4 linked regions of the Schizosaccharomyces pombe genome follow. The gene in region 2 interacts genetically with the main gene of each other region. Each region holds a gene or a part of one and is shown on either strand. Other genes may lie near its edges. The genes, in order: mms19, swd3, tma20 and mcl1.

Region 1 (9,095 bases), on a different chromosome or scaffold from region 2:
AATATCAATATTGTACTCCTCTATTTTTTTACTAAACGCCAAGTACTGCTACATTCAAACAACATTTTCCATTTCATAATCCTTTTCAACAGTCATTGCGATTGCAATTCTGATATTATTATCGAGACAAGGAAATGAGCATGATATTTTGTACCAAATTAATTTGTTATGAAACCCTTCCGCCAATTTCTATTGAGAATCCATATATATTTTTTATTTGGCTATTATTTCAAATTTATGGCTCGTTGTATTTGAAAGAGCATGATAGTATTATAAAGTACTTAGTAATCGACTGTTTTGCTTTCGTTCCAGTAGCGGAGTTCATGTTTTTGCTCTCAGGCATTTATATTAAATATTAAAACATCTTTTAGGTTACTTAATTTTAAAAAATCATCATGCCATCGTATCAACGAAACCGCATATCTGATCATCAGTAACTACAGCCTTGCTTCCTCTACCATAATTAAGCTAATAGTAAAAATGCCAAAATATAACGTTTCAGATTTCAAATCTAAATTTGATAAAGAATTAACAAACCATTTTAACAAAAATGGTTATAAGCAATCCTTTGTATTTGAAGATATTCGTTTGCTGATCGCAATAGCTTGCATTATACCCGCCGGCCTCGCATTTGGCATTGAGTATGTTTATGGTTTTGGTGTTTTAAAATCTTACTTAAAGTATCTTTTACCTTTATATTTCCTAGCTTCCTGCTTGCTCACATTTTGGTCTTCTGTAGTCAAGGGTAGTACTGTTTATGTTGCTACGAAAAAAGAAAGACACATCAAAATTTCTGCGGATACCTTTTTACCTTTGAAAAATAAGCCTCTAATCACTACTAAATTTACCGTACTCAAAAACAGAAATGCTGTTCAACTTGAATGGTCGGTTCCTGTTGCTCACATTTTTGAAGAAGATGGCCAAATATCAAGTGCAACTTTTGAGGCGGAAATTTCAAAGTACTTGTCTCAAATTGAAAACTGATTGAGCTCAATTTTTTTAATCAATTCTCAATTTGAGTTGTTGCCAAAAAGCGAAATACTCAATTACTACATTTTCGTTAGAAGGCTTCCATGCCTGCCACAACGTCCGTATCGTATTCTTATTTTTTAACATGAATTTTATTGCTACGTTTTCCATTTACCAGCGGCAATTGCCTAATCATGCTATGGATTTTTTTTTCTTGAAATCTATCCTACCATAAACCACTCTCTAACAGGAGTGAAAAAATTGGAGATTAATCGGTTCAATGTTTTCGATTCTGGGAAACTCGTCTAAAAAGAAAAGAAATACTCAAATTTACAGAATTTTTTTTACTTTAACATTCTCTTTGTCGAATCTATTTCTTGCAATATGTTACCTTTTTTTGAATGTGAGGACTGTAAGCTCAGATTCATCTGTTTCACTTTACGATAGACAGTTGTTCGATCAGTCATCTTCTGTAATTTTAAATCCTGATACTTCAGACCCAAGCATTGTGTTGTCGTCTTTAGAAACAATGCGTGATTTGGCTCATGATATAAAATTTGGTCAGGATGTACTTGAACAGCCTCTGTGCGATCAACTTTTTGTTTTGATGGATGGGAAAGACTATCCAAATACGATTCGTTCAATGTCGTCTGTTGTTTTGGCATCAGCGCTTAGCAATAATTTCATAGCTCAGAAAAAGGCTTTAGAAATGAATATTATGCCAAAAATTGTGAACACTTTACGGCAGGAAAACCACCCAGTTACATTACTGAAGAAACTTTTCCTATTAAGTAAATCTGTCCAATCTTTTCCTTTATCTGAGGCTTTCATTAGTAAAGATTTAGGATCGGCTATTCTTCTTCAGTTGTATGATTTTTGGTCGAGAAACAGCCATATTGATATTCCTTCTGCTTTTCAGGAGAAACTGCTAAGTAGGTTGTCCATCATCTTTGAAAATATTGCTCGTTCGTTGGAAAATGTCAATTTTAGCAAAGCTTCTAAAGTTATCCCAATAGAGTGGGTATTTTCGACTTGGTGTAGCATCTTTCAAAAGTACTTGATGAATAATTGGCATTTACGCTCAATTTCAACGCTCGAGGTTCTACTTAACACCGTATCAACAATTCAAAGTGTTAGTGAGAGTTGTCCCGAAGTTAACTTTTATGAATGGTTAAACGATAAAAATTTGGCGTACAAAAATAAATTAATTTATCAAGATCCAGATCTTGCTACTGAATTTAATTTAATTATAAAAGAAGCTTTATCTCTTCCTTGGCCTAAAAAATACAATATTTAACGTTTTTATTTTTCAAAAATGACTTATCAAAATCTCTCTTTATATATACCACTTATGACGAGTTCGACTTGCTTCAGTCCTTACAACCCTATATTATTCATTAGCATTTTGTAGTTAACAGTTATTCTTTTCACTAAAAATGAATGGTTCTTACCTTTTAGGATCATCCAAGCATGGTATGAGTCCACGAATTACTTTATCTCTAAATAGTTGTAAATTCGTGGTAGGAGTAAACTCTGGCAGACTTCCAAGACACTTAAGGGCTAAAAGACGAACAACAGTTGGATTATTCATATCCTTAGGGATTGCCAAAAGCGAAGGAATTAAAGTATCAAGATATTCCGTCAATAATGAAGTCAATTCTTTAACCGAAGTATGTATAACGTTCAACGTCGAAAGTTTAACACTAATATCAGACAGTGAAAGACATTGAAGTAGAAGTGGAAGGATAGATGGCATATCTGGAATTACAATTTCTTTTGGCACATTTCCTATCACATTAGAAAGAAGCATTAAATACAAAGACTTTTCTCCTCCAGTAGCAGTTGAAATGTGTTCTAAAATCTTAGGACTAACACTAGCGTAAAAACGTTGTTTGTATAACAGCTTTTCGACATATGAATTCTCCTTGGACAACGCAGGATCGTCTTTGATAATTATTGAAAGTGCCTTGACCGAAGAATCTCCGACATTTTGTAAATTCAAAGTATCCAATAATTTAAAAGCCAAAGGAATGCCCTCGCTATGCTTTCTAGAGACCAAAGCTTTGTCAACCCACGCCAGCACATCGAGTGCAGCTTCAGATTCCTTTGGAGTTCCAGTATAAACTTTATCCCACAAAGACGTGACTCCCTTCGAAGATATAAAACTTGATATATCTTCGTCTTTTTCACATTTGTTAATAAGCGAGGATATGAGACGTAAAGCGCTAATTTTAACGCCAGGACTTTCCGTAACAAAAACAACATTTATGAGTAAATTCAACAACTCAATATTCAACTTTTCGATAAAATGTAATTTTTTACTCAATCCATTAAGACCACCCTGTAATAATACCACTAAATTTAAAAATTTCTGATCACTTAAAGATGCTGCAAGCGTAAATCTTTCTGCAGCTTTTTCACAACCTTCAGTTTCAATTAAGTCGGAATTGGAATTCTCCATATATAATTTCCATAATTGACCAACAAACTTTTCTTGAAATTCAAAATGGTTTACTCTCACTATCTCATTTATTGTCTGTGATACATAAATAAGGCATCTCACATTCATTGACTCGCAATTAGCGAAACAAAGGGTAAAAAGTTGCTTCAGTAGTTCTTCAAAAAAGAATGGAATCTCTTGTTCATTTCGATCATTTCTTTCCTTAAAGGCAACGGATAAACTTTGAACAATTGATTCGACAAGATCAACACTCATTTCCTTGGATTTAAATTGATCTTTCAACATCTCAACAAGTCTGATGACAAGGGCCTTAAACAAACTCCTTTCTTCAGATATTGAGACTAGTACCGATAAATATTGCTTAAAAGTTTCTTCAGAAGATGACTTAGCAGTAACATCATCAGTTAATTTTGAAAATGCGAAAGGAAATGAAGTCAAAAGTAAAAAGTCGGGCTTTAGTAACCCTAAATCCTTCAAACATTCTGTTGCCTTTTTCTTAATAGGATCGGAAAAGTCAAATGCTATGTCATCCAAAAATTGAAGTACCATGGTTAATTCACTCTCTGTTAGGAAGTTCTTGATCGAAGCCATTAAAAAAATAACCTTTAAAGCCAACATGCGTATTTCAGTTTCATCTTTGGCTGTTCCCATCAAGGAGCCTGATACAAAACTAAGTTGCTTGTCTTTGTAAACAAGTAGCGGGTTGTCAATATCAGCCTGGTTTTTGCTTCTCCACTTTCCGTATAAAAGTACCAAACATTTATAGACGTATTCCAAAAAAACTAGCATCCCTTTTTGTTTCTCCAATGGTTCATTTACCATTGGTAGATCGAGAACACTGGGTAAAAAATTGCATGAACAATAATTGAATGTTTCCACAGAGATAGAAGCCAAGGAAGCAAATACAGCTGCACAAGATCCGCAAGATTTAACATTAACATCTTCGAGTAAACGCTGTGATAATTGGATCAAAATCATATCCACAAACTCTGTGAACGAAGATGAAAACCCTTCCTCTTTATAAAATTTACTAGCTAAAGTATTGAGTGCACCAAGCGCCAAATTTTGAAGTTCAGCATCTGTCGAATTTAGTATTTCTTGCTTAATAGATTCCCAAAAGTCTTTAGCAGACCATAAATAAGCACCCACGCGCCAAGTTTTGCAAGCTTCTATATAAATGTTTAATGCATCGATTTTTATGCGAACAGTTGAAGCCTTCAGCCTTTCAAATAAAGCAGGAAGAAGTAATTTTGAAAACGCGTCGTTAGCAACCAAGGTTTCTCTACAAAGGACGGTTAGCAATAGTTCACATGTCATGATGCCTTACCGGAGAGCTATTTTAAGATCGTCGCTAGTAATAGCCAAATTGGTGGCATCAGGCGGAGCACGGAAAGTGATCGGGAAATAACAATAAGTGATATCAAAGAATTGCTACATGTAAGTAATTTCATTAGGCGATTAACAATGAGATCCATACCTGTTCAAATCCGTCAATGGGGAATGTAGAAAGTATTTTTTTAAGCATAGAAAAGACCAGCATAAGATTACGAGGGTCTTTCTCACCAGCAAAAGTTGAACAAATTCCAGAGAAGAAAGCATCGCGAGTTTGTGAAGAGATGACTGAGAACTAAGTTAATTGATGACTCTCCAAAAAGATCCTTACAGAAAAGATAATTATCTATAATGGTTTCAAATACTTTTAAAATGTTTAAACGAGTTGCTTGAGCATATTTTGGCATGTCAGTGGAACTGAAGAGAGCCTTACAAACATCCACAATCTTTTGAGCAGGGAAGTTTTGCATGTTTAGAAGAGCTCCAATACCTAACGCATTCTCCTTCATTGTAACTTCATCATCCAAACGACTCAAGTAAAACTGAAGAAGTACAGATACATGTTTCGCAGGAAGTCTATCTTTAGGAAGCTCACCTAAAGTTTGTGACAGTAATAAAACTGCTTTTGCTCTAACAGAGATATTGTTGTCAGTTAAATACTCTCCAATTGAAGTAACCAAATCGACAATCCCCATTCTGTCAGTGACAATTTCTTCGACAATTCGATCTACAACGTCGTTTGCCTCATCCTGACTTCTATCAATAGAAAATAAATATAAAGCCACTAAATTCGAGCTCATCTTCCTCAAATTTAATATGTACTATTATGCTAACAATTTTCTATACAATAAACACTATAAGAAAAAACAGAATTTCAAAAATTGAGAAGCAGAGATTAGAAACCTTGTCCTCTTTTTCGAAGCTGACTTTCTTCTAGCTAGTAGGTAGACGGCACTCTTCCTCAGTAGATCGTTGAAACGTCTCTCAGAAAATGTGGTTAACAATGGCAAATTGCAAAATGTCATTTGCTATGTATGCTTTCTTTACCGAAGCGAAGTTAAACTAATTAAAGTATTTAGATAATCTGATAAGAATTTGTGTAAATTAAATTGCTTAAATCCATGAATTAAAGAAATTAGAAGAAAGATCGGATATTATTTTCTTTTTTTAAAAATTTGTTTCTTTTTAGCAAATCTCTACTTCAAGATTTTACAATCATACACAAAAACCTTTATTCCATCGTTATATATAGTCACTACATATTAACGATCCTTAAACCACTGCGCTATGTATTCCCTCTCTTACCAAAATTTGAACCGACAGCAAAGTAAAAAGAGGATGCAAAGTTTTAACATTTACTTGAGAAATTGATCAATAAGCATATAAGTATTTAATATAATTATCATCTTAAATTCTCTGTTAGTCCTGGTATGGAAGTTTCGGAGACAGACGAACATCTTACTCGTTTAAACCAGGCTCGAGATATTGTTAAAACTGATCAAAGCCTTTTTCCAGAAATCGTGAGAAACATTCTTTCTGTGGCAAACTATTCTGATATAAGGTATAAAAAATGGATGGCAAATTTCCTCTGGTTTGGATTTTCGAGCAAAAATGTTAAATTTGAGCAGAAATTGGATTTAGCTGTAACTTGTCTAGATACAATTGTTTCTCTGTACGCAGTAGATAATGAAGAAGTTAAAAAAGACGTTATATCTTGTTCTTGCACAATCTACCCACTAGTATTTCTGCACTGTTGTACTTCACCTAACGATTCATCTACCTGGGACACTTTAACGAAGCTAAAAAACGAAATCATTAATGACTTTGACAAAGGGAACAAGCCTCTTTTAATTTCTTGTATTAAATTTATTTCTTGTGTAATTTTAACGCAAGTGCCTGGGATTCGAGATCCCCGTCTTGTAACTAAATCGGACGTGTCTCTTTCTAAGGTTCCCACACATCATCCTTTTATCAATTCAAATATCCTCAGAATAGAAGCAAATGACTTAATTGAAAAAATATTTTCCATCCTTTTCTCGGATTCTTTGAATGTCCTTTACATTACTAGCGTTTTGAATATCTTACCGGTTTTGGTGAAGCGACGGAAGGAACTAGCACCAAAAATCATAGGAAGCTTGTTAGAATTTCATCTTCCGAATCCAAAAGATGAAATTGAGCTGTCGAACGAAAGCAAGTTAGCTATACGGTGTATTGAAAAAAATCTAAAACTTATTTTACTTCATTTAGCTAAGAGTACAGGTGCATCTTCTTCTTCCGTCGAAAAAATTCACGCTTATCTTTCCGGACAAATTTATCATACCAAAGTCGATGAAAGTTTGAAGAAACGGCAATATGAGGGAAATATTAGTGCTGCCTCTAAGCGTGTTAAGTCTTCTGCTGTACAAAGTCTTGTAGAAAGAATGCAACCCCAACTTAGCTCTCACGATGGTTTGCAAAATAATCCCTTAATCAGCATATTTGCTTCACAAACTGCTATAAATCCTCTTGCAAATTTTGATGTAACTTCAATTCCGGTTGAAGTGGCTACTGAAATTGTACTTACTTCTCTTCTTAAGATAGACAAAAACTACTTTCATCAGCAAATTAATATGTTGAGAGAGAGAGTGCGCTCTCTCTCTGAGCCTGAATCCCTTGGTCTTGATCAACAAGTTGATGAAGACGAGGACGAGGATTATGAACCGCCTGAGGTAGATGTTCAGACTATCAATGCTAGTGTAGAACGTGAAGCAGCTCGACTAGAGGGAAGTGCTCCCTCCAATGTCGTTACTGATGCGTTTGAATTACCCACTCCAGATTCGCTGTCCCCGATGGCTATTCTAGAATACTTTCACGGTGCCTTATCCAGATTATTTGATTATGCTCCTCAATTTGAAAGAAGCATAGTTTCTTCTTCTAACCTTCAAAATTTAACGTTGGAAAATGTGGATAATACGGTATGGGATAAGCGTCACTGGGCAATTCTCTTACCACGACTTTGTACGCGAGGCTTATTGAATTATCAGCCTGTAACGTCTGGTGAGGAATCTGGAGATGCTTCTTTCACTTTGTCTTCATTTGTTCGAGGGCAGCTTTTTACTTACGTTGCATCTAACTGGCGTTCCAGTACAAATTTAATATTGAACTGGTTATCCGAGGAATGGTATAATGATCGACTAATGCTTGAAAATCCGGATTGTCATGAATATGAGGATGTTAAGTGGGAAGGTCCACAATATGAAAAATGGGCCCTTAAAGTAATAGACAGCATTTTACCATACTTAGAGGCAAAAGATAAAGTTTTTATGATATTTATGTCTGAATTGCCAGAACTCACCGATGCTATAGTTGACAAAATTAAATTTGTATGTCTTGATCCCGATAAGACGAAGCTCGGTTTCATGACTTTTCAGTATTTAATAATGTTTCGACTAACCTGTACGTGAAAAATGCCTTGATATTCTTGAGACGATGTGGAAAGAGAATGTAGATGTTAAAGCTTCCGCCGCAAAGCTTTTGAATCGTTGGCGACCGTCGTTTTTGGAGTCTGTGAAATCAGAGGAAACGAAAGAGCCTTCCGCTACAGATAACACTTCCTAGAAAGCTTGTTTTTCCTGGGTCGCAGTGGGATTTCATTGGAAAGCCAAGGAGAAATAAAAGCTAAATGTTTAATGCACCATCTTTTGATAAAATAAAGTTCTGTTCATACCTAGACAGAAAAAATGTATCTGTGGCTAATCACCACTCTGTTTATTGGAGTTTTTTGGTATATATGCAAAATCTGTTCATATACTTCATTTAATCCTGCATTGGAAATGAGAGTAATCTTTCAATATTTCTTAACATACTTTACATTCATATTTATCTAGCCAGCATTTAGCCCTCTGCTATTTATGTAATGCTGTTACTTATAGCAAACGTTTATAAAAACTAAGTCTGTATAAAGCATAAATGAGCCCTTAATTTTTGGCGCACTAAAATTTAACTATTTATTATACAAATCTCAATTTTCATCGATGATAGAATGGCATATTTTATTATTAAAATAAACCATGGTCTTCTAAGAGTGGGATGTAAACTAAAGAGAAAGACTTGTTAAAAGTAAATTTTTGTGTCTATACACATAATGTAGAATAATAATCATTTGTTCCATAATTCCATAATTATACTATTTTCTTCAAATCTTGGCATTCATCTAAATGATTGATACACCCTCTTAAACCGTTTATCGAGTCCAACTGAGACTTACCGTGCAATAAATGAATGCTTTAGGACAATGAATGAAAAATAAGGATGCAACTTATCCTTTGCAATGAAGCAAGTCTAATTCATATTT
Region 2 (4,263 bases):
TATAATGGTTAGTAAATGCATAAACACATTTTTTAAAAAATGAAAAATAAGGAAGTTAAAGAGTAATCTCTTGTCAGTGATGGTTACAATACCTTCACTCATCCATATTTCTTAAAAACATACCCTCGATTGGCAGCTAAAATCATACGTAGCCAGCTGAAAAAGTCATTAGCTTTAGAAAATTAAAATTTAAACAAAAATAATAGTCTTACAGCAAAGGATCCGAAGAGTCTGAAGAGACAATTCCATATAATGGTACTTGAGACATAACCAAAAAAATCAACAAGGTGACTCCAGTCCATAACATTTTTTGCTTGAAAGGGACCTAGATTCGATATTAGCTTTCGATGTCTCTTATGAGATACATATGCTACATACCTTTCGTTCGGGTGCAGCAATCTCCGGTAAGAATGGCGCGAAAGGCTTTACAAGGTCCAGAAATCGTACTGTATAGTGTTAGAAATCAATAAGAAATAAAGCATGGTCTTACAATCACTCATATTGTATAATTTAATTAGATTTCTGCCCAACTAAACTTGCTGGTTCTTGTTGACAGTGAAGTATCATACTGAGGTTTTGGTGGTGAATTAAATTAAGGCAGCAGAACGATGGAGATAACTATTCACTTAAATGCGATAACAAGTAAATATTTCGTTTCATTATATAGTTAATAAATACGCTATAATACCAGTATAAACATTTGTTGAAGCTGTAATGAATGCCTGAATTGCCCATTTAACAAGCGTTAGAGAAGTTTTTTAAGCCGATTAAAATTCAAAATAATAACTGCTGAAATGATTTTACTTCACATAGGGATTAAAAGGAGATGCGATTTCCATTACGACCCAGGCAACAAGGTTGACTAATAAATCAAGATCATTAATTTAATATGGAATAAGAAGGGAACTAAAGGCTATGATGAAAGGCTTAATATGTGTACCGATCTAAGATGCCAACTGTTTCACCAAAAAATGAAAACACAATATTGTTTTACCAATTTGTAATTGGGAGATTGGATCAAATAAATTGATTACCAATTCATGACCTCAACAAGTAATTCTAGTTGTTCATAAGTGTTAGCCTCTTTCTTGCAATTACTATCCACGTGATTTAGATGTTTCTGTGGAACAACAGCTATCTGGATAAAAAAACTTTGGGACAAACGAGAGTGAAACATTTTTAACTTAAATTATTTGCATCACTCTGAAAGTTATGAGTTGACTCATTCGAAGTCAGTTGAGAGATGAATCACAGACACTACTTATTGAGAACTTTAAGCAATGGAAAACTTGATATCGAAGGAGCTATCAAAGTCAATATTAATTGAATGAGGACATTATGCAAAGAACGTATTTTGGTTCATTATAAGGAAACCTCTTTTTAGTATCTTTCAAACAAGCAGGAGCTTCATGAATGCAAGGCCGGAGAGAAATTGGACTAGCCTACTCACAGACTAGAAGATTACAAAACTTCAAAGGATATGTCTCAGTACGAAGATCGTACCCTTAGCGCAAGAGTATTGAACCCTCGTCAAATTAGTGAGCAATATCAGAAAAAAGTTTTTGTATTAATTCCTTGTAAACTTTACGTTTCAGTAAAAGGAGCCTAGTCGTTCTTCTTCATTCCCTAAGCTTTTTCATAACTTCAATGCGTGAATTATTGTACAATTTGTAGTAAACTTCCATTTATTAAGTCTTTGAACTAAATGGCTTAAAAATGACAATATTCCTGAATATCCTTTGCAGAGTAGTTTTCGACGTGAATTGCGAGGAAAATGAACCTGTAAACTTTATTGAAGACGAGTCAAATTATTGAGTTATTTAATATAAGTCCAAAGAAAAGCGTTTTTTAAATAGTCATTATTGTGGTATGTTGCTAGTTGAATGTTATACACTTCGTTGTCCACACCAGTTACTGCTTGTGCATACAATAAAGCTGGATGCTTAAAAAATTGACTGGCATCATTGTAATTTTATAATCTACATATGCAAAAAGCCCATGAACTTTTTTTCTTGTACATAGACTCTAGAAAGAGGAAATAAATTGATCGATTTTACTATCAGACAAAGGCGTTTGTTTATGATTGTTGAGATCATTCAATAAACCTTTTAATACTTCCTGATACGATTTTTGTCTTTAGTCCATTTTTACGAGAAGTACAAACAATCGGTCTGATAATTTTTCACATATCGTATATTAGAAGATGGATTCCACAGCTCAACAATTTCCTTTGAACCACGACCTGCAAGTACAAAAAGACCAGAAAGGTGTTGTAGAGGAAGATGAGGAGCAAATACATAAGCGCATTCGCAATTATGAATCACATTCAGGATTCTCTGAATATTGTACTCTTTTCGGTCATGAGAAAAGTGTTACATGTGTCAGCGTTTCCCCTAACAAACGATGGATCGCTACCTCTTCATCCGATGGAACTATAAAGATTTGGAGCGCACTTACGTTTCGACTTGAATGTACACTTTTCGGCCACTACCGAGGAATATCTCAAGTAAAATGGGCAACTGGTAGTAAGTATCTAGCTAGCGCTTCTGACGATAAGACCATAAGGATTTGGGATTTTGAAAAACGGTGCAGTGTGAGATGTTTAAAAGGTCATACAAATTACGTTTCATCAATTGACTTTAATCCATTGGGCACGCTTTTGGTGTCAGGATCATGGGATGAGACTGTCCGTATATGGAATCTTCAAGATGGAACTTGCCTTAGGATGCTACCTGCACATTCAGAACCTATTATATCTGTTTCTATATCAGCTGACGGAACTTTATGTGCGACTGCTAGTTATGATGGAATGGCACGAATTTGGGATGTTCTCAGTGGCCAGTGTTTAAAAACATTAGTTGAACCCATTAATGTTCCTTTGTCTAATCTCCAGTTTACAGAAAATCGAAAATATCTGCTTGTAAGTAATCTTAACTCACAGATCCGTCTTTGGGATTATCGCCGAAACCGTGTGGTACGAATATTTGATAGCCACGTGAATACAAGATATTCTATGTCTTGGGATTGCTATTCTTCTAAAAATATTCCTAAAAATACTGAAGCTTTACCCAATAATGACTCTTCCTACCCTGATGATGCAGAATCTTTCATGCACGATGCTTATCTTTTAATTCCTAGTGAAGATGGAACAATCCAAATTACAGATCCGAGTACAAAAATAATTATTGACGATTCAATTAGGCATTCCGATGATCCAGAAACATCACTTTTAAATGTAACCAGTTTAGGTCCTTTCATAATCACATCAGGAACTGATCCTTATGTACGAGTTTGGGCTCCTTCTCTTCTATTGTCGAAGCACGAGAAAGATGGCTTTTCACCTTAACCTGAATTGTTGACAAATAATGTATAAAGTTTAAAGAAACTACTTGGAATTACGATGAAGATAATGATGCTAAAGGTTTACGTGCGAAAACAAGCTCCTTACTTCCAATCCAAAGGCTAGTTGGCCTATGAAAACTTAAGTGGATCGATACATAGAAGATAAAATTAATTTATACAGTCTTCGATTATTCTTTACAGAAGATTTCTCGAAGAACGAATGTCGGCCAAGTTGATATCCTGAAATTGATGGTTTTTCTAATTTTTCTCGTTTATTAAACCAGTTATATTCATTTTGTTACTAATTTTCATCATCTAGTTTAATTCGACAGATTTTAAAGGGAGATAAATTTTTTACTTTTTTTTCCTAATATTTATTCCTTTACCACTACTGATATTCTAATAAGGTAAAACTTTTTTCGAATTAAATCATTTGGCCGAGTCAAACTTAAAATAATTGAGAAAAAAACGTATTACCTGATTTTCAATGAGTGAAAACCCAGCACATAAGGATTTGGACAGTTTGCAGGTTGACGAGAAAGCAAAAAGTTGGATTGCTGAAAAAGTTGAAGAGGAGCTCCGAAGGTTAGAGTCAGTAGGTGCTAAAGCGATCCCCTTAGATGTTAAGAATTACAGTGTTATGTTAGATGAAGACACGGATACTGTGGTAAACAGAATTGAGTTGATGACTAGCTTCGACTTTGATCATGTTCAACAAATTCTTCTATCCGCCGTACAGCCCTATCCTTATGATAAAAACTTAATGTTTGTTTATTTGGTGATATTAACGCCTCTTCCACACCCTATGTTAATTCCATATTTGTTTGCACCCAAGGTCGTAGGCAAGAATCTACTACCCCGTGCTGACGGATTGGTAGAGAATACCTTGAAAAGATGGACATTCATTAATGATAAGCTCAA
Region 3 (6,548 bases), 3.2 Mb from region 2:
ATCTTGAAATGAATCATTTGAATAAATGGAGCCGGAGGATCGATCATGACTAGTGGTAGAGCTTGATCCCAATAAATCACGATTCACGGAATGTCGAAACGTAGATTGATTTGGAAGTTGGACATCTCCACTATCCCGTAAATCCACCGAATAAACTCTTCTAGAGCTAGAGCTTGCCGTACTAGCTCCAAATGGAGATGGTACATCACCGTTGACGAACAAAGAGTCAGCAGATGAATTGTGTTGAGACACAGAATCAAGAGAATTGCTAATATTAGAATTAATGGGGAATGGAGCAGATGCGGATGATGGAGGAGGGGTAGTAGAAGGTGTAAGGGAAAATTGAAATCGAGAATGGTGAGAAACAACGGACTCAAGCGCAAACAAAAAATCATCTAAAAGGGTGACAACAATAGGAACGATACCAGCTTCCACAACACGAATTCGAATAGCTTCAGACCCACGTATCCCAACATTTACGACACACTGAAGAGCTAGCTGCCATATTGTCATTCGGGCAAATGTTTGTCCACGTCCGGCACGTAAAATATTCATTAAACGCATCAAACCACCATCCATAGTAAGGATCTCACGAATTTTCGGTGAAGTCGAAGTCAAATAAACGAGATGGCTTAATGAATTCATTAATGACATTTCGGAGTCACAGTCAAGCGCACGTCGATCATAAAGGACTGTATTGATAGTGACAGAAGCTTTGTTATTCCATACGATGCTAACGTTCGATTCCCTCATCTTTCTTTAATAATATATTTAACACGTATAAAGTTTTTTAAAGACAATTGCTGCAGTATAAATTACTGGCAAACGCAAAGATTGGCGTAAAACGAACGATGTGATAATATTTTTTTTAGTTAAAGACAAGCAGTTTTCGAATACCAAAATTTTACTCAATAATTTTCAAAACTGCTGTGTGTAAACGCAATAACCGAAGAGAAAAACCAAGAACAAACGCCGATAGCAGGAAGAATAAGTAGTGCCCCAAAATCACGAAAACGAAAAAAAATAAAAATTACTGTTTTCGCAGATTTTAAGTCCCGCCGAATTTGAAATCCTTTTAAGCAATCTACACCAATTATTCTTCAAAACGAGTAAACGTAAAAGGGACTACGGTTAGCTCAAGCTTGAAGTCAAGAACTGATAAAGGAGCAAAAAAAATACTAAAAGAAAAAGGAAGTAAGGAGCAAGGGCACTTTTTTAGCCGAGAAGCGACACAGATCAAGTAAGTTCAACAATAGGAAGTATAACAACGAAAAAGTTGTAACCCGGGGTCTGCTAAAATCACGAGGCTAAAGAAAGAGAGAAGTGGCAAACAAAAAAAACCCGAGATTAACGAAGATACAAAGAGAGAATGAATAAGAATAGTTTGATGAAAACCACAATAACCTTGAAAATAAAAATAAAGGATATGCTCAGTACCTTTTTAGACAAGATTAGTGGAAAATCAAATCACAGCTGACAAGAGTAAGAGAAGAGAGAATAGCACAAGATGATTTGCATCAATTAAAAAAGTAAAGTTCGAAGAAAAATGTTAGGATTTGGAAAAGGAAAACGGTGGTGAAGCTAAATCAGCCTTGTTGATAAACAAAGAATAAGTGTTTTCTTATAATCGCAAGGATTTAGCTTAAAAACCACAGTAAATAGTTTTTGCAAGTCCCTTAATTTTAATTGAATGAATTCTTTTTACGAAAATTTCCCGGATCCTCGTTCTCTTATTCAGATTCTTGGAAGTGGCAGTTGACAGAAGGCAACTTCATTTCACCCGAGTGTCAACCGAGTTTGAAAACGATCGTCAGTGAACGTACCTTTAAGGCACCATAACGCAAAGTATGCTGGGTTGTTACTGGCTATAATGGTTGGGAACTCTCGGCGATCTTTGATGCTGGATGTTACCTTTGAAGAGATCGACATCTCGGCAACAATAACTCAAAAAACTTGCTGCAACTTTAACTAGCAACAGTTGGTATTTCTTTCACTATAGTCAGTCATTTTTTATTCATACGAACATCTTTGTGTCTTTAAGTTTTTAGCAGAATCTGTGTATGAATTTTTTCTTTTAAGTCAAAATGTTGCCTAATACGTTGGTCGCATAAGCCGATTTTTGTATTCTGTAAATTCACTTTAGCAGAACATTTGGGTAAACCGGTCCGAATAAGCTGTCAGTGCTGAAAATAACCAATGTCAGATTTTGTAATCTCATTTGATTGACAAGTTCATCAGATCAGCACAACTCCAAACCAGCCGCTTCTTTACCTGTGAGTCCTGCCACTTTGAGTAACAAAACTAAAATTAGTCGCACTGGTAGATACTCGATCGTATGTCAATGGGGCAAGGTAAAGAACAATCAATTTATAAATATAAATATGTACATATTAAATATATTTTGGATTGGATTTTTCATTTTATTGTATTTTAATGTGTTATTTACGAATTGCGTTGGATTCTTCAAAATTGTCATGTTTACAACTTTCTCATTTCTACAAGTGTGATTCCCTCAACATAATATCCATAAATTTTTCGCTTATCTTGCTTAGTAAGTAAACTCAGATCGAAACTCAAGGTTAATAATACTAATATGGATTGCTTGTCTTATTTCTACGCGCCATTCCGGCCTTTCAAATGCAAAAACAGTTATTTTATTATTATCCGAACAGTCCAAAGCGCTGAATATCCTCAACTTCGTAACAACGTCCATTTACATGACCCATTGCCTCGTAAACAATTAATTACTAATATTTTACACGATTACTAAATATTAAACTGATAGCGCCAATAAATGTCATATGTAATCTAGGCCTCCAGCTTCTTTTTAGCCATTTCCTCTTTCCATTTTCGCGAAAGTTCGAGCATTTTGCGCATCTTATCTCCTTGATCAGTCGCCGTATCCGGAAACAGATAGTCCAAATATTCTTCGAATGAACCGTCTTCAAGTCTACGGCGTTTCTTAACAACCTGTGGCATTAGTGAAGAGACATGCTTACGTGTATCTTCCGTGCCATGCATTGCCTCAAATTGTTTCCATGCTTCAAGTAATACAACTCGCTCTTCCTTCAAACCCTGCTGGCGTAAATGGGCCAATGCATTTTCAAAAACATTTCGCGCACGCACAACAGCGGTTGGAGAAGCCACTTCTTCATTCGGTGGTTCTTCGTCATCGTCCTCCAGATGGGCAATTTCAAAGTTTGCAAAACTAATCCAAACTTTAACATGAGGTGCAGTCCGTAGTAACTGCTGGTAAATACTTCTAGCTTTTCCGTATTCCATTTCCTCGAATTCAAAATCAATATAAGCCTTCCACACAAGCTCTGGGGTTTCCAAAATAGGCTGGTTTACAGCCAAATTATATAAAGCGCGAGCACGATCACTATCTCCAAGCTTAGTCTCTAAGGCAGCGTAACCAAGCCAGGGAGCACAAGCCTCGGGATCATAAAGAATCCATTTTTCATAAAGAATTCGACACCTGTCAAACTGCTTAATTGCGTCTTCGAATTCAATATAACCTCGGAATAATTTTGGTTTTGGACACATTCCCAACGCACGACCCAACGTTTTTCTAGCAACATCAATCTTACGTTGCCTAAGCTCAAACATTGCATACATGAGCCATAATTTGGCAAATGTAAATTTTTTATGGGGTATAAGCTTGAGAGCTTCTTGGTAAACCTTTCTTGCGCGGTCAACGTCCTTCACATCTATCTCTTCAAATAAGCAATAGTTTAACCAAATATAAACGTAACGTCTCCATGCGTTCTTTTCAACTACTTCAGGAACCTTAGCAATAGCTTTTTCGTAGGTTTCGCGAATAGTATTAATATCCCCTGCACTTTCTTCGAGCTTCAGCAAATCAAGCCAAGTGTCATAGTCATAAGGAGAATCCTTCAATAGCTTTTCGTATTGTAATCGACGCTTATCGAGCACAGTAGACTCAACGCCCAAATGATCTCCAAATTGTTTTTCAAAATGAGTGTATTCCTTATATAGTTCCATAGATTTTGATCGGGGCATAAAATCAATTGCATATTTGAAAATGGTGCGAGCTCGTTCATATTCCTTTTGACGAATTTCGAATTTTGCAAAAGCAATAAAAAACCGTTCATTCAGAAACTCCTGACCAAGAGCATCTATAGCAGCCAAATAGACTTGGCGAACGTTTGCAGCATTTCCGCATTCTTCTTCAAAACGAGCCCAACGAAGCCAATTCGTTACTTCAGGATGCACAACGACAAATCGTTCATATATGCCACGAGCCCGTTCGTTTTCATGGTACCTCCTCTCCATTCGAATATAACTCATCCAACAGTTTTCATCAGGCTCCCACTTAAGCCATCTTTCAAATACTTGTCTACAACCGGTGATATTTCCTAACATTTCCTCCATATATACGTATTTGTACCATAGTTTATCAACACGGGGAAGCTGTGTAACAGCACGATCAAATAAATTTCTGGCATGGTTGATATTTCGATTCTTCATTTCGCATTCAATATATTTCAGCCATAACGGTATATAAGTAGAATCTACATCCAAAGCTCTTTCAAAAACAGAGCGAGCTCTCGCAAATTCTTTTTGGTCTAATTCCCACTGACCATATCGCATCCAATGGCCCATAGCGAGACGATTCCGTCGAATGGCATCTTCAAATTCTTTACGTTTTCGACCTTGAAATTCTTGAAGCTCCTCAAGATCAGTGATATTAATTTTTGGAGGAACAAACGCCACATCTTGTCGTTCTACAGCTTCTCGGAGCAATTGTTCAGCTGAGATTTGGATGGGTGCTGGGTTCTTATTTTTTACCCTGGGCGCTTCCGAAGTCATCTTATATTATTCTGGATCTCTATAGTGTACAATTACTCAATAAATAATATGCTAGATTTATGTCTTCTCTTAACCAGTTGGCTTTTACTGTTAGAAGACAAAAACGTGCACAAATATGAATGAATATATCTAACGTTTGTAACCCTCGAGGTGGTAATCGGCAACACCGCGGATCATCCGAGAGGAGACCGCGGCTACAACCTAGTAACTTATTGTAGCAATGGTCTGCAGCTCCTATATACTCAATAATATGTTCAAACGGTATTGCTCTAAATTGGATTTATAATTTTGTAGGATGATTGCTAACCTCAACAGATTTAACTCTAGAGAAGATATAAAGGGAACTACTCCAATCAAGTCTTCTATTCAAAGAGGAATAAAAGCAAAACTAGTACAAGCTTATCCTAACTTAAAACAAGTTATCGATGAGTTAATTCCCAAAAAATCACAACTAACTCAAATAAAATGGTTCGTTCTTATCAGCATCCGTGATTTTTAGTATGTCGTACTGATATTGTTTAAGTGAGGATCGTTTATTTTTGTATACTTTGAATGGCGAAATTATCCTTTTCCAGCACTTCGACGGCCCTATCATTCCTTCTCTTCGTCTTGTTCATAAATGTGAGTATAAGCTAACGTAACCGCAACGTTTGATTGGAGTTCTGGTTTTTGTCTAGCTGGTCAGAATCGACAACAACATATCTGTGTTTAGTTCAAATATATACTAATACGCCTAGGTCCGGATGCCTTTACTCAAGTTCGAGTAGACAGAGGAGCTATCAAATTCCTTCTCTCGGGTGCCAATATTATGATTCCTGGCTTGGTTTCCAAAGGCGGCAATTTGCCTGATGACATCGAAAAAGATCAATATGTGATTGTTACAGCTGAGGGAAAGGAAGCCCCTGCTGCAATTGGGCTTACAAAAATGTCTGCTAAAGAAATGTAATATACTATTGACACTCATAACTTGAACTATTAACTAACATGCTTGAATTGTTTAGGAAAGAGACTAATAAAGGAATCGGCATAGAAAATGTGCATTATCTTGGCGACAACTTGGTATGTGATTTACATTTTAAACCATTTATAATTTCCTCTTGCTTATTGGAATGTAATGTTAACTAATATTCACAGTGGAAGACTATTTTAGAATAACATCTATAGTATAAGACATTAAAAGAATAAAATTAATGCATTATTTTGCTTTCAAAACTATTCAGATTTTTCCAATGAGTATTGTATTAGACTTAAACAGAATGCAAGAAAGAAAAGTCAAATTTAAAATAGCCTCAATTTTTTTCAGGTTGATGCGTATTTTTCTATTAATTTGTTTGCACGATCAAATTCATTATCAGTTTGTACTGCTTGTCGTAAAACCACTAACATTTTTGCAACAACTTCTCTTCCTGATAATTTAATTGAACATTTTGTTTGAGTTCGTAGCTCTCCTAAAAATTCCTCCAATTTTTGCCAAAGACCATGATGCATTAATAGTCTGACATAAACTTCGCTTGTTACTAAAAACTCATCATCCAACTTAAGTAATCGAGCAGAAGCGATTTTGTTTTCTAAATGATTAATAGTAACTATGGTCTCAAAATCATCATAACCTTCTTCAGTGATTGCATCAGCTACCATTTTTTGTAATAGTTTTCCTCTTCCAGAATCCATTAAAACATTATTAGTTCGGTGTTCATATATTTTGAGCGGCTGAC
Region 4 (8,190 bases), on a different chromosome or scaffold from region 2:
GCGCAGTCTCCCTATAAAAGCAACTGCCAATCCAGCACTTAATGGAGCTGGAACATGGAAGACAATCCATACTAGTGCAACAACCACTGCCGCTTGAAGGTAAAAAGTCTACATGCGCATTGTTAATAGCTGGTCTATATCATTGCACATATATTTGTTATCTTTGTATTTAATTTATCTCACCTTTCTTTCCGTTTGATGCTCATTCATATGATTTATTTCGTTAAATCAATTACAATATTTAGTCGTTTATTTTTAAGAACTAGCATACTTTATATTTAATGCATTATAGACAATTGAATAAAAATTTTGAAACAAGCAGGTAGAAATAATAAAGCCAACGATCTATTTAAGAAAAGTAAATTTTACATCGATGATTATTTACATAAGTAAAAATGTGTTTAGTTAGGTGAAGCAAAAGAAGTGCCGAAGAAACCATTTTTATAAATTATCCCTAAATACTAATACCATATCATCTAACCGAGAAGCTTGTAAAAGCAGTTTTTCCTCGTAACTATACAACTTTTTTAGCTCAGCTTGCTCAAACTTTTGTAGATATTGTTCCTCGTTGCCTTTAATATCTATTCGTTCTGCCTTCTCAATGAGTTGAGCTCTCTGAGCTCGTGCATCTCGTAATCGCATATATAGTCTGGCAATTACATGATAAAGTTCATCCAAAAGGAGAGAGTACGCCCGATCAGGACGGTGAAACCAAAGAAAAAAAGTCTTGGAAGGGGCCCTGTCGGAACTACGCGGAACCTCTTGTAACTCTAAGGCTCCGATTTCTGCCATAGCTTGAAGAACGGTTCGTAAATCTCTTTGACGAAGGAGAGCAATATTCGCCAACTGCTTTTCCTCAATTTTTCCCTTATCTTTTATGATACGCAGTAAACGAATAGCTCTTTCCCCAAATTTTTGTTCTATAAAATTTTCATATTCTATGGCTCGCAGCATGTCGGTTAAATGGGTAAAATTGACCGCCCATTCACCCATTCCTCGATTGCCTATTTTTGAAATAAATTTTAATGAGCAATCTGCCAAAAGCTCCAGGTGTTGAGCCAGCACCTTGCTCTTGCGATTTGCGTTTTCATCAACACTTTCTTCATAATTATCTTCCTCAGCAAGTTCATCTAGTTCATTCAACTTTTCCATGACACGCAATTCGTTAGAGGCAGAATTTACGCTATACTGTTTATCGACAATCGAACTCTCAACGTCGATATCATTCGGAAAGTTTCTCGTAAGCTCCATTGTCGTGAGTGTAAAGACCGGAGATTGATTGGAAATACTAAATAATCTGGGTTCCAACATAGAAAGAACGTGAGAATAGACAAGCGAAGTTGATTTACCAATTCTTCTTTCCACCCAATGGGTAAGCCTGGCATTTTTTGAGAGGACAGAAAGTTTTCCTGAATTTATGCGAACATGCGCGGATAGATCAGGTACAAGGATGCTATTATCATCGTCTAATATATTATTCAAATCCGTTGATACAGACGGAGCAGAGCCAACAGCACGTTTCCTTCTTTTTGTTGGATGTGGTATTGATTCCTTTGGCTTCCTGGTAAGTCCTTGTAGTTCTGACATATCTGCTGCACGAAGCTCTAACATTTCCAAGGCGACAGAATCATCAACCTCTCTATTTTTTTTTATTTCAGACACGTTTTCTGACTTTCTGCGATCTAAGTGCTTGATCCGGAGTTGCATTTCCTGATCTCCTACTGGTATTAAATGTCTCGGTTGCACTACTAGCAAAAACTTTTGGTAAATCAATTCCGTTAGATTTTTCTGCATCATACGGCTTTCTTCATCACTCCCATCAACCTTTTTATCGAAAGCATTGAATACTTCGAGTACACGTGCACGTCCTTGGGTACTAAGATATTTTACCACAGAGGCAGCCTCCTGGTTTAATTTTTGAGATATCAAATATACATCTTTACCTTTGCGAAGAATGTTATAAATTTCCTTCCATTGGGTCTCATAATATGTGACTTCACGTACATTTTCAATGACCGTAACGTACAAAACCATATGATGCTGCATTAAACTGACAAGTGCTTGTCGAATTTTTGGTCCTGGCAACGAAGTCCGTTTTTGTAGCATGGGAATCGTTAAACGACCATGCCTCAAAAGTGCACTAGCTACTGCCTAAATTGACAATAAATTGGTTAATACAAAAGACTTTGCAACCTCAACTTCAGATTTAGAAATACAATTGAATCCTTACCGAGCAACAATCACCGAAAAATTCCTCTACGAGAATCTCACACAGTTCTACAGCATACTGTGACATGATCAAGCAGATTACCAATCTTGCTTGGAATGGTAAATTGTTTGGCAGACGTAACTACAAAAAAGCAAAGATTTCACAACCTAGAGTATGCCAATAGCCTGTATTTTGTGCGTCGTTAAAGCAGCGTTAACATTTATAGTGTATCACTCTAATACAGAATAAAACTTTAACGATGTGCAAAAACGATTTTCATATTACTTTTTGAAAAAATACATACATATAATTACTGCGAGTATTAAATGAATGATCGAAATCTAATTGTATGATTAATTTATTTAACTTCTTTTTAATTTTCCTGTGAGAGGCTCCACTAGGTTTCTCAATTCCATTTCCATGTCGTTGATTTTTTGTGGTTTAATCAAGCATGACTTATCTGCAGATTCTGTTTTATAGCTTGTCATGGTAAGCATTAATTAAAATACTAAAAGACAATAGCTAATTGCATATTTTTCCTCCATTTAGAATATTGCTGTGCGGCTGTTTGAACATTTATAGCAGACATTTCAAAACTTTTTAACAGAACTGCTCTAATGGAACATCAAATACAACTTCAGAGTAATTAAAAAAAGCTCTGAAATGATTAAAGTTAAATTATTCCTATAGTCTCACATATAAGTTACTTTAGTATTAATTTCTAATTGTTAGCAGATGATTAAAAGCATGGATTGCATATTTTCAATCGTACTTGCATATGAAAATAAATTGTAGACAAACATTTGCAATTTCTCAATAGTGCTTTCGTGGTAGATTTTTTATTTAAATGTTTGTTTACATTAAATAGCGTAACTAGCTAACGAAAGTATCGCTATTGCCATACTAGTCCCAATCTCATATACAAACTCTTCCTCTAGCTATTATGGCAGGGAATAGGCTAGTTCCTAGATATGCCCATACAGATGGACTGACGCGTCTAGCGTATACTCGTGATGGGAAATTTCTTCTTACGGTCGGTTCTAATCAAGTAATCCGAAAATTTCAGGTTGGTTCTGATGAGGAACCCGACTCCATTGATAATCATCAAGATCCTATAACAGGAATTGCAGTTGCTGTAAGTGGTCCTCAAAAAAGTTTGGAGCTAATGACTTTTATATAGGAAAATTATTTTTGTACTTGTTCAGAAGATGCAACTGTCTGCGTATATCCCATCGATTCTCCTACCGAGCATACATTGCTGGCGCGTACTACTCTTCCTATTCGCGATGTGGCATATTCAGTAGATGGAAATTGGATTGCCATAGCTAGTGAGTAAGTTTTTTTTAGTGTATAATGCTCTACTTGGTCGTTTTCAGCCTAACAAATATAGTGAAACAGCAGTGAAAGTGGTTTCGTCCACTGATTCTTCACAAATTTTCTCTCTTCGTCCAGCTAAGGCTTCGAATAAACATGTAACTTATAGCCCGAACGGAAATTTTTTAGCAGTTTCCAGTTGCAATGGAATTTTGTATTTTTATGACACCCAAACTCGTGAACTCATCAAGTTCTTAACAAACACTATTGCCTCTTTAGAGGCAGAATCAGAAATTTGCTCAAAGGCGGCTTGGCATCCTAAAAACGGGACATTTGCAGTTGCGAGTACCGACCATTTTGTATCAGTTATTTCCCCTGATGACTGGCTTCCATTGTACAAACTTCTTCCAAAAGAGAATCATTCTGGTGTAACAGATATCTCCTGGTCCAGTAATGGAATGTACATAGCTGCTTCATTTAAAAAAGGAGGCATTTTAATTTGGGATACACAAAGTCATGAAGTAGTCGTTGAGCTCCCCTATAGTACAGTGGTGGCACTCGCCTGGCAGCCATTTGAAAACGTGTTATCATTTACTACAAATCAGGGAATTTTGTATTCATGTCCGGATGTCATTCCTAAATCAATATTGAAGGAAGAAAATGATCCTACGAAGCCTTTGACTTCGTCAAAAAGTAAAAACCGTACTTCCAAAGAGCTTGATGATCTTTTTGGTTCTGACGATGAGCAAAGTCAGAACGTCAATGATTTGGATGGGAACTCTGCCAACGAGGAAAATGAGTTTATCAATCATGATGGATTGGATTCATCTTTGGACCTAGATGGTGATAGTTATATGGTTGATGAAAACGACTTAAACCTTGCAAAGAAAAGAAAGCAGAAGGCGTTGATCGACAGAACTACAACAATAGAGAATGGTTCTAGTAAAAGACGTTTACTGCAAGCCTCAATACATAAACCCGTTCATACTGGAAGTACACCATGGCAGGGTAATAGAAGATATCTATGTTTGAACTTGGTAGGGTTTATCTGGACTGTACAGCAAGATGCAGAACACAACACTATAACGGTTGAATTTCATGATGAAACTACTCATAGAAAATATCACTTTGTTGATGACCAAAAATTTGAAATGGCATGCTTAGATCATGAAGGTGCTTTGTATGCTTCGCCTGCAACGGAAAGTTCACCTGGTGTTATTTATTATAAAGCACATGTTGATTGGTCGCGTAAATCTGAATGGGCAATGGCTTTACCCATGGAGAATGAAAGTCCTGTGACAATTTCATTAAGCTCAAGCGTTGTACTGGTATGTACGAGTGCTGGATATGTTCGCGTATTCTCAAGACAAGGCTTTCCAATTAGCATTCACAGGAGTAAACACTTGCCATTTGTAGCTTGTTCATCTTTTCAGGATACGATTATAACCATCGCCAACGATGGTTTGAGCTCTGATGGAAATTCTCGTCTTGTTTATTCCATTGAAGACATTTCTCGTGATGAAATGTTGCAAACTGGTGATGGGGTTGCATTACCACCCCAAGGAACGTTAGAGAGTGTTTTCTTTTCGGATGTTGGAGATCCTTACATCTACGATTCAACTGGGGTATTGTTGGTATTAATGCATTGGCGCATACCAGGACAAGCCAAGTGGATCCCTGTTTTAGATACAAATGAATTGGAGCGTCGCAAATCACGGCAAGAGTCTTATTGGCCTGTAACTGTTGCCGATAATCAGTTTCACTGTATATTGCTAAAAGGAGCCTCTCGATATCCCTATTTCCCTCGTCCGATGTTTACAGAATTTGACTTTCGTATTCCTTGTAATACGAACAATCCGGATGCTTCTACATCTGTTCCTGTTTTAGAAGAACTACAACTCCGTAATAAACTATTTTTGACTTTATTGGAAGATAGCATAGGAGATGGCGATGTTACGGAGGACGAAAAAATAAGCATTGCTAGACTAGAAGCTAACATTGACAAAGCCTTGTTGCAACTTATTCAAAAGGCTTGTCTCGAGGAAAGAATCGAACGTGTCTATGAATTGACAAAAACTTTGAGAAGGACAACAAGTATTGCTGCTGCTCAAAAGATTGCGCTCCACCATTCCCTTACAAATGTTGCTGAAAAAATTGGTAATCTACTATCTAACGTCTAAACCCTCACGTCTTAATTTTTATGTAACATTATTTTTTGCATATTAGTAGCTTGAGCTAATCAAAAGGGGTTTGAAGCAAAGCTATGCAGAAGTTTTGTCACGATCTTGCTCCTTTCTAAATTCATTTATATAAGCATCTAGCACTTTGATTTTTTTCTCATTTTTGTATTTAATAAACACATTTCATTTTGTTTACCATATAACCTCTATGTTTATATGTCAGTATATTCGGCATATATTTCGAGTCTATTTAGAAATTGCACAGGGGTACAAAAAATTGATTCATAAGAAAAGGTGGAAACATTTTTTAAAATGACAAAGAGTCACAAAGGAATTTGTATTCTTTTCCTTTCTGAAATGAAATAAAATCTAATGTAGAAACTGCAAAGCTCAGTGCCTTAGGGTGCGTTACAGTTCGTAAAGTTGCAGACACTAAGTGCAGTACAACTTTGTAAAGTGCCAAGCTGCAAACGAAAACACAATTTTAGCATGGAACAAAAAGTGAGTGCGGATGTGTTATTGAATAAATATCAAACATCCATAAGCATCACAAAAAACTTAATCAATTCGTGGTTGGGAAACGAAAATACATCTGTCAGTAGCGATGAAAAAAATGACGATCCACCGTTACAAGCTAGGCCGCCACGGTTAGGGTTGGGTGCTAGTAGAAAAGACCAGTCAGAAAACAGCTGGGTTACTTCCAAAAATGAGAAATTGAAAAGCCTGCCACCGGCATTAAAGAAGAAGATTGAAAGACAGTTGCAGAAGAAGAAGGAAGCTGAAAAAATTGAAGGCGGCAAAAACCACGACAATTTAAAGCGAAAATTGAATAAAGTAGGCGATGAATTGAACGAGCAACAGTCTGATACTGATGATGATGATGATGATTCAAAGGCTCGCATTACTAGCCGATCGAAAAGAGCTAACGCCCAAAGTTCTGGCTTTGATATTTATAAAAAACTTGGGAAGAAAAAAAGGTGAACTTGAAAGAAAAGACATACATAAAATATTTGCATAAAAGGTTTGACTTCTGATTCATTTTGATCAAGAGATTAGCCTCAAGGAAATGGACATCCTATGAACCCATAAATAAGCAGCACTGGAGTATTTATGGCATTGCTATTGGTTGACGTGCATGAAGTTGAATCGAAATTTATTTTTCTGTGAAAAAATTTACGATCCTTAATCACATTTAGTGTTTACATTGGATGGGTCTTAATTTGGGTGCCGTGTTTACCTCTTTTCAATCAGGAGGGTTTTTTTTTTGTTTAGTCGGTATGTTAAGTAAATAAATTTTAGATAGGGACAGTTGGTAATATGAAAAGGCACACCTATTTTTTATGAATCAAGCTCAAGCGATTCAATTTTGTAGTGAAAGACTGACTGCACTATTATAATTTAATAGTGGCATCTAACCAAGGAATGTGAATGCTTTCCTTACCCGCTAGCCACCGAATCCATGAAAGTCGAACCAACCTGTAGCCGGCTTCTTTTAATTCCGTAGGGAATGCTTTTGTGTCGAAAATATTTCGATTGAATGAAAAAAAGGTTGAATCACTCCACAGAGTGCGTGTATTAATCAACAATCCCAGTATAATCATGCAATATGGACTGAAGCCTGTTAGTCAAAATCTCGTATGGAATGGACGGCTTGTTTATCAAACTGGTTGTTGAACTTACCATGGATATTTCCGAGCAATCATGGACAGCATAAAGATCGGATAGAAGAAGTATGGAGCAGCATTAGCTACTAAAAGCATTGGAATAAAATATCGTAAACATAGCATTTTGTACCAAGTTTGGTAAAGCAACAAGTTTTTGAAGGATGTAATTTTACACTATTAACGCCATTTGGTCACGTAACAATCCATTAAGACGATATGCCGTTTTGTGAAACCGAAGCGATAACTCGGAATTCAAAGATTTCGTAAGCGCTAAATATCGTTAATTAGATAAAAGTTGTAGATCCAGCGATCCTTTGGTATTGCAATGTTCAGTATTGTTTACAACTTCAGAAGCATATAAAAACTCTTTCGACTTAGATTACAATTAAGATTTCAAAACTTTTATAAATTACTGCAAGTTGATTGACGCACTGGTTGGGTTGACATTGATTGAGTGAATTGACAAGCTTCACCATCGATATCCGTCACACATACTTGGGTCATATAAAGTGTTTATTGCATATAGTATTTAAAAATTTCATTTAAAACTTCAACTGGTTCATCTTTTTACATACGCCTTGTATATCCATATTGTAAAGTCAGTTTACTAGTTGAATCAATAACGCATTCTAGTGCACTTAAAACACATTTGCTAAATAGAGAAAAAAGATTAAATATGCTGAATTTTTTGACGAGCTTGGGTTTAGATTTACTAAAAAAACAGGATTAGCTTTTCTTTAAACTCTACCATTTGATTTGTTTTTGCGGTTAATTGATTTTCAAGTCGCTTTAGGAAGAAAATATGGTTTACGGACTCAGTCTT

The links.
Region 1: mutations in swd3 (region 2) and mms19 together harm fitness more than expected from each alone (negative genetic interaction), as found in Schizosaccharomyces pombe (2 studies listed by BioGRID).
Region 3: mutations in swd3 (region 2) and tma20 together harm fitness more than expected from each alone (negative genetic interaction), as found in Schizosaccharomyces pombe (2 studies listed by BioGRID).
Region 4: mutations in swd3 (region 2) and mcl1 together harm fitness more than expected from each alone (negative genetic interaction), as found in Schizosaccharomyces pombe (2 studies listed by BioGRID).

What each region holds. Positions count from the first base shown.
Region 1 is NC_003424.3:3,854,890-3,863,984, reverse strand, and holds mms19 (TFIIH regulator Mms19 ), read right to left. Parts: upstream 5,768-9,095; 5' UTR 5,563-5,767; coding exon 5,094-5,562; exon of another isoform or gene 5,051-5,093; coding exon 4,908-5,050; exon of another isoform or gene 4,862-4,907; coding exon 4,758-4,861; exon of another isoform or gene 4,713-4,757; coding exon 2,421-4,712; exon of another isoform or gene 2,355-2,420; coding exon 2,306-2,354; 3' UTR 2,267-2,305; downstream 1-2,266. Other genes in the region: signal peptidase subunit Spc2, read left to right, coding at 481-984; protein Sil1, read left to right, coding at 1,250-2,266. UniProt on the Schizosaccharomyces pombe protein: Key component of the cytosolic iron-sulfur protein assembly (CIA) machinery that mediates the incorporation of iron-sulfur cluster into apoproteins specifically involved in DNA metabolism and genomic integrity.
Region 2 is NC_003423.3:546,467-550,729, forward strand, and holds swd3 (Set1C complex WD repeat protein Swd3), read left to right. Parts: upstream 1-1,897; 5' UTR 1,898-2,203; coding exon 2,204-3,346; 3' UTR 3,347-3,763; downstream 3,764-4,263. Other genes in the region: translocon alpha subunit Sec61, read right to left, coding at 124-156, 213-325, 379-446, 491-500; SPOM_SPBC354.04 (uncharacterized protein), read left to right, coding at 3,830-4,263. UniProt on the Schizosaccharomyces pombe protein: The Set1 complex specifically methylates 'Lys-4' of histone H3.
Region 3 is NC_003423.3:3,768,225-3,774,772, forward strand, and holds tma20 (RNA-binding protein Tma20), read left to right. Parts: upstream 1-5,072; 5' UTR 5,073-5,083; coding exon 5,084-5,094; exon of another isoform or gene 5,095-5,148; coding exon 5,149-5,301; exon of another isoform or gene 5,302-5,356; coding exon 5,357-5,454; exon of another isoform or gene 5,455-5,570; coding exon 5,571-5,775; intron 5,776-5,834; coding exon 5,835-5,892; intron 5,893-5,913; exon of another isoform or gene 5,914-5,967; coding exon 5,968-5,988; 3' UTR 5,989-6,048; downstream 6,049-6,548. Other genes in the region: armadillo-type fold protein, zf-MYND type zinc finger protein, Mub1-Rad6-Ubr2 ubiquitin ligase complex Mub1, read right to left, coding at 1-753; protein Cwf4, read right to left, coding at 2,809-4,833; histone chaperone Hip1, read right to left, coding at 6,133-6,548. UniProt on the Schizosaccharomyces pombe protein: Involved in translation.
Region 4 is NC_003424.3:3,280,708-3,288,897, reverse strand, and holds mcl1 (DNA polymerase alpha accessory factor Mcl1), read left to right. Parts: upstream 1-3,145; 5' UTR 3,146-3,152; coding exon 3,153-3,344; exon of another isoform or gene 3,345-3,389; coding exon 3,390-3,541; exon of another isoform or gene 3,542-3,599; coding exon 3,600-5,703; 3' UTR 5,704-5,894; downstream 5,895-8,190. Other genes in the region: cts2 (chitinase), read left to right, coding at 1-97; DNA-directed RNA polymerase III complex subunit Rpc82, read right to left, coding at 442-2,151, 2,231-2,296; SPOM_SPAPB1E7.01C (uncharacterized protein), read left to right, coding at 6,193-6,684; SPOM_SPAC652.01 (BC10 family protein ), read right to left, coding at 7,095-7,314, 7,384-7,490. UniProt on the Schizosaccharomyces pombe protein: Has a role in regulating DNA replication complexes. Acts as a regulator of post DNA replication initiation. Associates with chromatin during G1 and S phases of mitosis. Required for the transcriptional repression of the outer repeats of the centromeric region.